Linked DNA regions of Oryctolagus cuniculus. The protein of the gene in region 1 binds, or shares a complex with, the protein of each later gene. Links are inferred from orthologs where the notes say so. Each region holds a gene or a part of one and is shown in the gene's direction. Other genes may lie near its edges. The genes, in order: MDC1 and PELI1.

Region 1 (4,310 bases):
GTGCCTGAGTTCTTTTGTGCAGAAAGGGGGCTGTTCTCGGGGATGCAGGGGTTGGGGAGTCCTGGGTGCCGGGGGCTGGGAGGTGAGGAGGGCACGCCCAGAAAGCTCCCTGTAGTAGCAGCTGTCTGAAGACAGGACTGCTAAGCTCAGCGAAAACCAGGGAGCGGTGCAGCACTCTGGCCCTTGGGTGACCCAAAGCCTGAACCCGCATAAGCCGCTGCCCCCTCGGATTGCCTTCCTGATATCTCCCTGGGAGTCTGGGACTGAGAAAGTTGCGACAGAGAAACAAAACTGTAGCGAGGGTCTTTTGGGATGTAGCTATTGTTCAAGGAGTAAGTTGCAGCGTTTAGAGGAAGTGCTGAGATTTGCAGCCTCCGTTATGGGGATGTGGGCCTTGGAAAACAGCTTGATTTTCTTGTGAAAACGGGGAACTAGGGAGTCTGAAGCTTCATAGGATTTCGGTCTTTCCAGACGGCCTGTCCAGATTGATGAAATCGGTGCGTTTCAGTTTCACTGACTAGGCGGGCGGTGGCCATTGCAGAGGGGGAGGGGTGACTGAAAGAGTGGAAAATGGAATGGGCTTCCACGGGGTCCACCTGCTTCCCAAGGACTCACTCATTTGGTAGGTACTACCTATCCACCAACCCAGGAGCAAGAGATACAAAAATGATTAAGAATCCGTTCCCTGGCCTCCAGGACCTTGCAGTTCGATGAGAAATGCGGTAAGCACCAGTCTAGAGAGGTGTGGTCCCAGTCAAGGTCATTGTTAATCCACATTCCATCAGCATCAGCGCACATTTCTAAATCACCTTCCAAATGAAGGAGCGTTAAGTGAGTGTAGGACCCTTGTACTCCATTAAAATATCTTATGTTTTCGGGCATGCTCACAACGAAAGCAGCTTTTCTGCAGTAAAGAGCTCAGATTTAGAACTGGAGGACTTGTTTCCATTTGTCTCTGCATTAGGAACCCAGCGAGTCATTTAACTTCGCAGAGCTGCAGAGATAAAATCTACTTCTGTTTGGTTCTCGTGGCCCGAGCTGAGATAACAAACGGGAAAGAGCTACCTAAAGTAGATCCCTATCAAATTATTTCCTGGTCTCTTCATGTCTCGTTATAATGAAATAAATTACTTTCCATCCTTGCCTTGCCCCTTGAAAAGTGAGGCCAACCTTTTAAAACGGTTAGCAAAACAGTTTCCTCTCTTAGGCTTTGGATTTTTATTTTAGGATCTTCCGTTTAGGAAAATGTCCTCAAAATGTCCGTCGGGGATGTATTCTCAGGAGGAAATGACACGACTTCTACTAAACAAGCGAAATCAAAAGGCAATGAAATTCCACTGCAGTGAGGAGCCTCAAGTGCCACGCCTACGGGCTGTCCTCCAAACTGCAGCCTGGAGCCACGACTGCAATCCGCAACCCATTTGTTTCTCCTGAGTCAGCGGACACCATGTCTGGGAGGACCGGAAAAGGGCGCTCTGGCCGGACCAGACGCGGCCGACGACTGTAGTACAGAGACGCTCTATCCGCCGCCAGAAACTGGCGCCAGACTCTCTGGTCGCGGTTTGGAAGTCTGCGCGGGAAGTGGGCGGTGGGCCATGAAACGGCAGTGGGCGGTCCCTTGGAGCTGGCCAATCAGAATGCGCTATTTCGCGCGGCCTCCGATTACTCTTCCTCAACTGAGCACTGTCTCCCGGGAGATGCTTTCCTTTTGAACTGTGGGGGGACGGTTGGGGGAGGGGATTCGAATGTGCCGCCGCTCTGTGGGCGTCATCAAATCAACGTGCAGGACGGTCGTGAAGGACAGCGACAACAGCCAATCAGCGAGCCGGGTCCCTTCCGGCGCACGCATTCGCACCGCCCCGGTCGCGACCGTTACGGGTGGCGCGCGCGCGCGTACTCCAAGTAGGTGAGTTCTGAGGGCCTCGCCCACATCTTCGCGGGTACCATCTTGATTCCGACGGAGGGCGGGAGGGGCGTGCCCTGGGTGCGACTGGGCGGAGGTAATTCGAAAGTTTGTGGGACTGTAAATGCCCACCCTCACCTGACGCCTCTCCTCGCCCCGGGAGGCGTTGGATCCCGACGGAGCCCCACTGGGCGGGGATCAAAGATGGTGGTCCTTTGATTCCAAGGCGAGGAACGCGGGCGCCCGCTGGGCTGGCCCGTCTTAAGGCCGAAGTGAACCTTTTCGCCTCGGGGGCGTCCTCCTTTCCCTAGCTGCCCGTTTCCCTCTTTGTAAGTGAACTCCATCCTTATTTCTTCCTTTCATTCTGCCCCTAGCAGGCTCAGTGAGGCAGCCCTGCGAGGGCAGGGTGCATGTAGGGTTTGCCTCACGGATGTGGCCCCCGTTCTTTGATCAGCCCTAGGCGCGCCGTCACCACCGTAGAACGACCGTGATGGGCACCGGGGGGAAAGGGAGAGTTCCGGGGGGAGGGGCGGCGGAGTGTGAGAGTGGTGGTTACAGGGTAGGCGCAAGGCCGTCGGCCACCAGGGTCACCGGAAACTAGGAAGGACTTTAATGAGGGGAGGACATTTGAACAGAGGACGGCGATTACTGTTACTATCGATTTGAAAGTCGGGGCTGTGCCGGGCCCACACCAGGAGCCTGGAACTCAATCCCAAGCCTCCCACGTGGGCGGCCGTTGCCCGCTGCCTCTCAGGGTACCCGCTAGCAGGAAGCTGACACTGGAAGCGGAGTTGCGCTCGGATGTGAGATGCCAGCGTCTTCAGCGCTGCGCCTGAACTAAAGCCCCCAGGGTGGGCAGGAGTCGATCAGGAAACCAGGAGGGAAGGGCCTTGGGCATCAGCTGTGGGGCCGAGGGGAGTGTGTTTATAGAGGCTTGGTTGGACCGCATGCGGGTCAGCGGAGTGAGGGTGGGGGCTTGCAGTGCCCAACAAAAGGCTTAAGTGGGGTGGAGGAGGTTTGCTGAGGAGTTTAGGTTTTATTTTACCCTGGGAAAACCATCAGAAAATATTAAAAAGAGAGATCTGAGTGACTCTGAGCAAGTTCCTTCACCCATATATGTTGTTTTAGCTAAAAGAAAAAGATAATAATAATGCCTCTTTACAGGGTTCTTGTGGAGACTAAGTGAGGCAGTCAGTGTAAGAAACCGGAATCCTCTCTATGTCGACTATTAGGAGTTTTTGTAATTTAGTCTGATCACGCCGAGGTGCTCTGGCAAAGTGTAAAAAGTACGGGCAGTACAACCAAAAGAACATTTCTTCTTACCTGTCTACTTAACCTGCTGTGTTATCCGGAGCAAATTATCTCATATTTTCAGCGTTAGTTTCCTAAATGTCTACCTCTGTCGTCTACTGTGCGTGACACATAATGCCCAGCACAGACTTGGCGTGTATGAGCAGTGGGCTGCAGCCCAGTTGTGGATAGTGAAGTTCATTTAATAGGTTGTAAATGTTCATTTAAAAAGTATAAGGAGAGGTGCTGACATTGTGGTACACAGGGTTAGCCACAGCCTACAATGCTGACATACCATATTACTGTGGCTGCTCTGCTACCAATCCAGCTCCCTGCTAGTGTGCCTGGGAAAGCAAAAGAAGATGGCCCAAGTGCTTGGGCCCCTGCCACCTGCATGGAGTTCCTGGCTTCTGGCTTTAGCTGAGTCCAGCCCCCTCCATTGTGACCATCTCTGTTGCTCCCTCCTTCTTTGTTTCTTCTGTCTTTCAAATACAATAAATTTAAAAATATAGAGAATAGGAAAAACAGAAATAAGAATTTTAGTGTATTATCGTAGCATTGTTTCTCAAAAAATATATAAATAAACATGTTTGTATATATTTGTGTAATGAGGACCTTGTAATATTTATCTTTCTTTGTGTCATGGTCAAAAATATATACTTTTTAAATATTTGTTTATTTGAGAGGCAGAGTTACAGAGGAAAAGGTCTTCTATCTGTTGGTTCACTCCCCAAATGTCTGCAACAGCCAAAGCTGGGCCAGGCAGAAGCCAGGAGCCAGGAGCATCTTCCAGGTCTCCCACGTGGGTACAGGGGCCCAAGCACTTGGGCCATTTTCCACTCTTTTCCTAGGCACATTAGTAGTGACCTGGATCGGAAGTGGAGCAGCCAGCACTCAAACCTGTCTGTATGGGATGCTGATGCTGCAGGCAGAGGCTTAACCTTAGTATGCCACAGTGCCAGCCCTGATCAAAAATCTTTTTAAATGCTTCCAAAGGATAACAGAATGACTGAAGGAAAGACAAGTATCAACTTCCATAACTATCCAGATTTACCCCATTATCAGTCTCATCTCTGATGCTCTGTCTGTGAGCCAGTGATGGAGATGATAATGTTTC
Region 2 (3,810 bases), on another chromosome or scaffold:
AGCTAGTGTGTGTAGAAAAGGGACTGTTTGATTTTGCTTCTTTGCAGAGATAGGATTTTATATTAAGTAGGCAGTGGAAGTAAATGCCTTATTGATCCAATTGAGGAGCTTCTTAGAGTACTTCCCTACAAGAGTGCTCTTGGCATTTTGGGTCTACCAATTCTTCATTGTGATGGCCAAAACATGCTTTTACATATTTTCAGATTCCCCTTGGACAACTAGTAACTTCTTCTGGTTGAGAACCGTTGTTGGGGAACATATTTATATTCCATACCTCTGTAATAGTCTTTTCTGGATTTTTCTTCCTATTTTTACACTGTCATACCTGTCATGTTTTCATTGTTACCTCCTTTTCATTCTTACTTGGCAAAAGAATCTTGAAGATCAAAGACTGATTACTTCCTCTAAATTTTCACAGAATATATTAAGTTCATGAGGAGGATAAATGTTTAGTCTGGAAGTCATCTGGAGTGAGTGATTAAAACTGCCTTCCAATCCAGTGAGACTCAGATTTAACTTGACATAGTTCTTATTCCCAGTCTAAGAGTGGGTTTGGGGCTGGTGTTGTGGTTTAATGGGTAAAACCAGCGCCTGGGACGCCAGCATCCTGTATGGGTGCCAGTTTGTGTCCTTGCTGCTCCACTTTCAGTCCAGCTCCCTGCTAATGTACCTGGGGAAGCAGCTCAAGTTTTTGGGTTGCTGTACTCAAAATGGGAGACCTGGAAGAAGCGCCTGGCTCCTGGCTCCAGTCTGACTGAACCCTGGCTGTTGTGGCCATTTGGAGAGTGAACCAGCAGATGAAAGACCTTTCTCTTTGTCTCTCTGTCTATCTGCCTTTGAAATAAATAAATTGTTAAAAAAAAGACAAAAATTATAATCTTAAGGCACATAAAGCTAGTGTTTTTAAATCTTTCAAGCTGTTAAGAATTCAAGCAATTTTTGGTTGAAAGCCGGTTGCTTAATGGTGAGTTTAATTTAGGTTTTAAAACCTGTGAAATTAGTATGTAATGTTTATGAATACATAAATGTGCACTAAAAAGTATTAGCAGTATGCATGTAAATGATCTGTATTGGAGAATGGGCAGATAGGTAGGAATACATAGGCAAATACAGTTGCAAATACAGTTTAATTTCTTGAAAAAAATCAAAATTAAAAGTGATATTTGTTAAGCTTTGATAAAACTGGATAGTTAATATCCAGGTACTTGTTTATTCTGTTTATATACTTCAAAATTTGATGGTTTTAATTAAAGTTATTGTTTTAAAGCTTTAAATTCTTACAGTTTAGCTACAAATGATAAACTTCTAATTAAAGAACATTTTATAGTTTAGCTTCTTTGCTGTGTGTAATCACTCTCCGTTTCTTTATGTCTGTTTTCCTCTCATGCAGCCGTTTCCACATCCTTTGTACATGACTAGGTTTTTCCTCCCTTTGATATTTTCTCCAATTCATGTACATACAACACTCCTGAAAACAAAACTGAAAAGTTCTTTTTAGCAACGTTTTTAGTTTGAGATAAGTCAAATACGTGCATGAGTGTTACATCTCTTTCCTTTGGTAATTTTAATCATTCTATGAATTTTTTTGCATCTGTAGAGTCACAAAATGGATAGACAGCCAGTTAAGTCAGCTTACTGGTTAACTTTTTAACTCTGAGTGACTTTAAAAATAAGATTCTTGGGTTGGACATTTAACCTAGTGGTTAAGAAACAAATCCCATGTCACAGTACCAGTGGTCGGTACCCAACTTTGGCTTTTGATTCTAGCTTCCTGTTACTGTAGACCCCTAGAGAAGGGGATGATGGTTCAAATACTTGAGTTTTTGCCACCTATGTAGGTGATCTATGTTGAGTTCCCCATTCCTGGCATCAACCTAGTCCAGCGCCAGGCATTTGGTGAGTGAGCCAACAGATAGGAATCTGTCTCTCTACCTCTCAAATAAAAATTTTAAGTGAAGAATTTTTAATGGAAATAAAATTCTTTTGGGGCCAGCGCTTTGGTGCAGCGGGTTAACACCCTGGCCTGGAGCAACGGTATCCCATATGGGCACCCGTTCGAGACCCAACTGCTCCACTTCTGATCCAGCTCTCTACTATGCCCTGGAAAAGTAGTAGAAGATGGCCCAAATCCGTGGGCCTTTGCACCTGCATGGGATACCCGGAAGAAGCTCCTGGCTCCTGGCTTTGGATCAGTGCAGCTCCAGCCGTTGCAGCCAATTGGGGATGGATGGTTCTCCTCTCTCTCTTTTTCTTCTCTTTCTTTCTCGCTCTCTTTCTCTCTGCCTCTCCTCTCTCTGTGTAACTCTGACTTTCAAATAAATAAATAAATCCTTAAAAAAAAAGATTCTTTCAAGATTCTGTATTTTCTCATCAGATTAGTACTGAGTATTGTTTTCACTTTCTACAAGGGGTTTTTTCTTAAATATTTATTTATATATTTGAAGGTCATAATTATAGAGAGAGGGGTCTTCTGTCCACTGGTTTCTCTCACCAAGTGGCCAGGGTGAAGCCAGGCCAAAGCTAGGGGCTTCTTCCAGATCTCTTACGTGGGTGTCAGAGGACCAAGCACTTGGGCCATCTTCCACTGCTTTTCCCAGGCCATTAGCAGGGAGCTGGTTTGGAAGTGGGGCAGCCAGGACACAAACCAGTGCCCATATGAAATGCTGGTTGTCTCAAGGGGCAGTACACACTACACCACTGCACCACAACCCTGTCCCAGAATTTGGTTTTGATTTCTTTAAAATTTAAAATAATTGTAGGAGAGACCCAGATTGTATAAGTTTTTGATTTTATTTAAAAGTATGTTCTTACCTGAGAAGTCACTGTCACAGCTAAGGCTTTTCAATAGTTATTAACCTCTCTCAAGTTTCAGGGGGTAAATGCATAAATGTGTCATATATGTGATTTACTTTTTGTACTGATTTGATTGACCTGCCTACTAATTTTTGTTACTAACGTTTTTCTCCTAGGCAATAAGCAACAAGGACCAGCACAGTATATCCTATACTTTATCTCGGGCCCAGACAGTGGTGGTTGAATATACTCATGACAGCAACACTGATATGTTTCAGGTATTACAACATTTTCAACTTTTTTTTCTTAAAAAACAGAACAGTTAAAAGTCTATTGTCTGTAACTTTTCCTATGATCAGATTAAGGATCATCATAGCTTAATAATGTATTTCATATATATGACGGGTCTTCAGAAAGTTCATGGAAAATGTATAAAAAAGCAATGCACTGATTTCAGGTTTTTTTTGCATCAAAATAAACTTTACCTTTTAATTTCATTTTTCATGAGCTTTTTAAAGTCCTTCAGGCATATTGAAAACCTCATATGTTGAATTCAGCATAACAGTAAGAGTCAAGCGTTGGGATTAGAATTTCTGGTATACGTTACTTGGCTGCTCTGTGTCTATTTCCTCCTCTATAAAGTGCTGGTAATAGAAACTCCCTCCCAGGTGTTAGGAATAAATAAGTTTGTGTGTTACATACTCAGAGCTGGGCCAGGTACCTGGAAAGCTCTTGGCAAATGTTAGCTATTATTATCAGAAAAAAAAAAAAAAGAGAGAGAGAAAAGTAATCAAGAACTATTCTGCACACATAAGTGACCTCTTGTCCACTACCTCCCACCTTCCTGTACAGGCAACAGAAAGTACAGGCAGCTTTGATTTCTCCCTCCACCCCATCCCTTGTAGCAATCCAGTGCTGATTTTTTTTTTAAACTTATAAACAAATTTCTTTATATCTTCTCGCTTAACATTGAGTATTCTAACACCTTGGGCTTTTTAAAAACAAATGTAAGTGGGA

What was found.
Region 2: the proteins of MDC1 (region 1) and PELI1 are in contact, whole or in part, in a crystal structure (PDB 9IF9), measured with the Homo sapiens proteins. The link is inferred for Oryctolagus cuniculus from reciprocal best matches to the Homo sapiens genes MDC1 and PELI1. Residues at the interface, in NP_055456.2 of Homo sapiens: Glu761, Asp762, Ser763, Glu764, Thr765, Gln766, Pro767, Phe768, Asp769; in NP_065702.2 of Homo sapiens: Arg104, Ser105, Thr106, Glu107, Thr115, Asp116, Val130, Gln131, Ser132, Thr133, Ile134, Ser135, Arg136, Phe137, Thr185, Asn186, Thr221, Arg222, Ser223, Ala224, Cys247.

What each region holds. Positions count from the first base shown.
Region 1 is NC_091436.1:139,721,625-139,725,934, forward strand, and holds the start of MDC1 (mediator of DNA damage checkpoint protein 1), read left to right. Parts: upstream 1-1,241; 5' UTR 1,242-1,906; exon of another isoform or gene 1,907-2,232; intron 2,233-2,595; exon of another isoform or gene 2,596-2,754; intron 2,755-4,310. UniProt on the Homo sapiens protein: Histone reader protein required for checkpoint-mediated cell cycle arrest in response to DNA damage within both the S phase and G2/M phases of the cell cycle.
Region 2 is NC_091433.1:138,702,798-138,706,607, forward strand, and holds part of PELI1 (E3 ubiquitin-protein ligase pellino homolog 1), read left to right. Parts: intron 1-2,969; coding exon 2,970-3,071; intron 3,072-3,810. UniProt on the Homo sapiens protein: E3 ubiquitin ligase catalyzing the covalent attachment of ubiquitin moieties onto substrate proteins. Involved in the TLR and IL-1 signaling pathways via interaction with the complex containing IRAK kinases and TRAF6.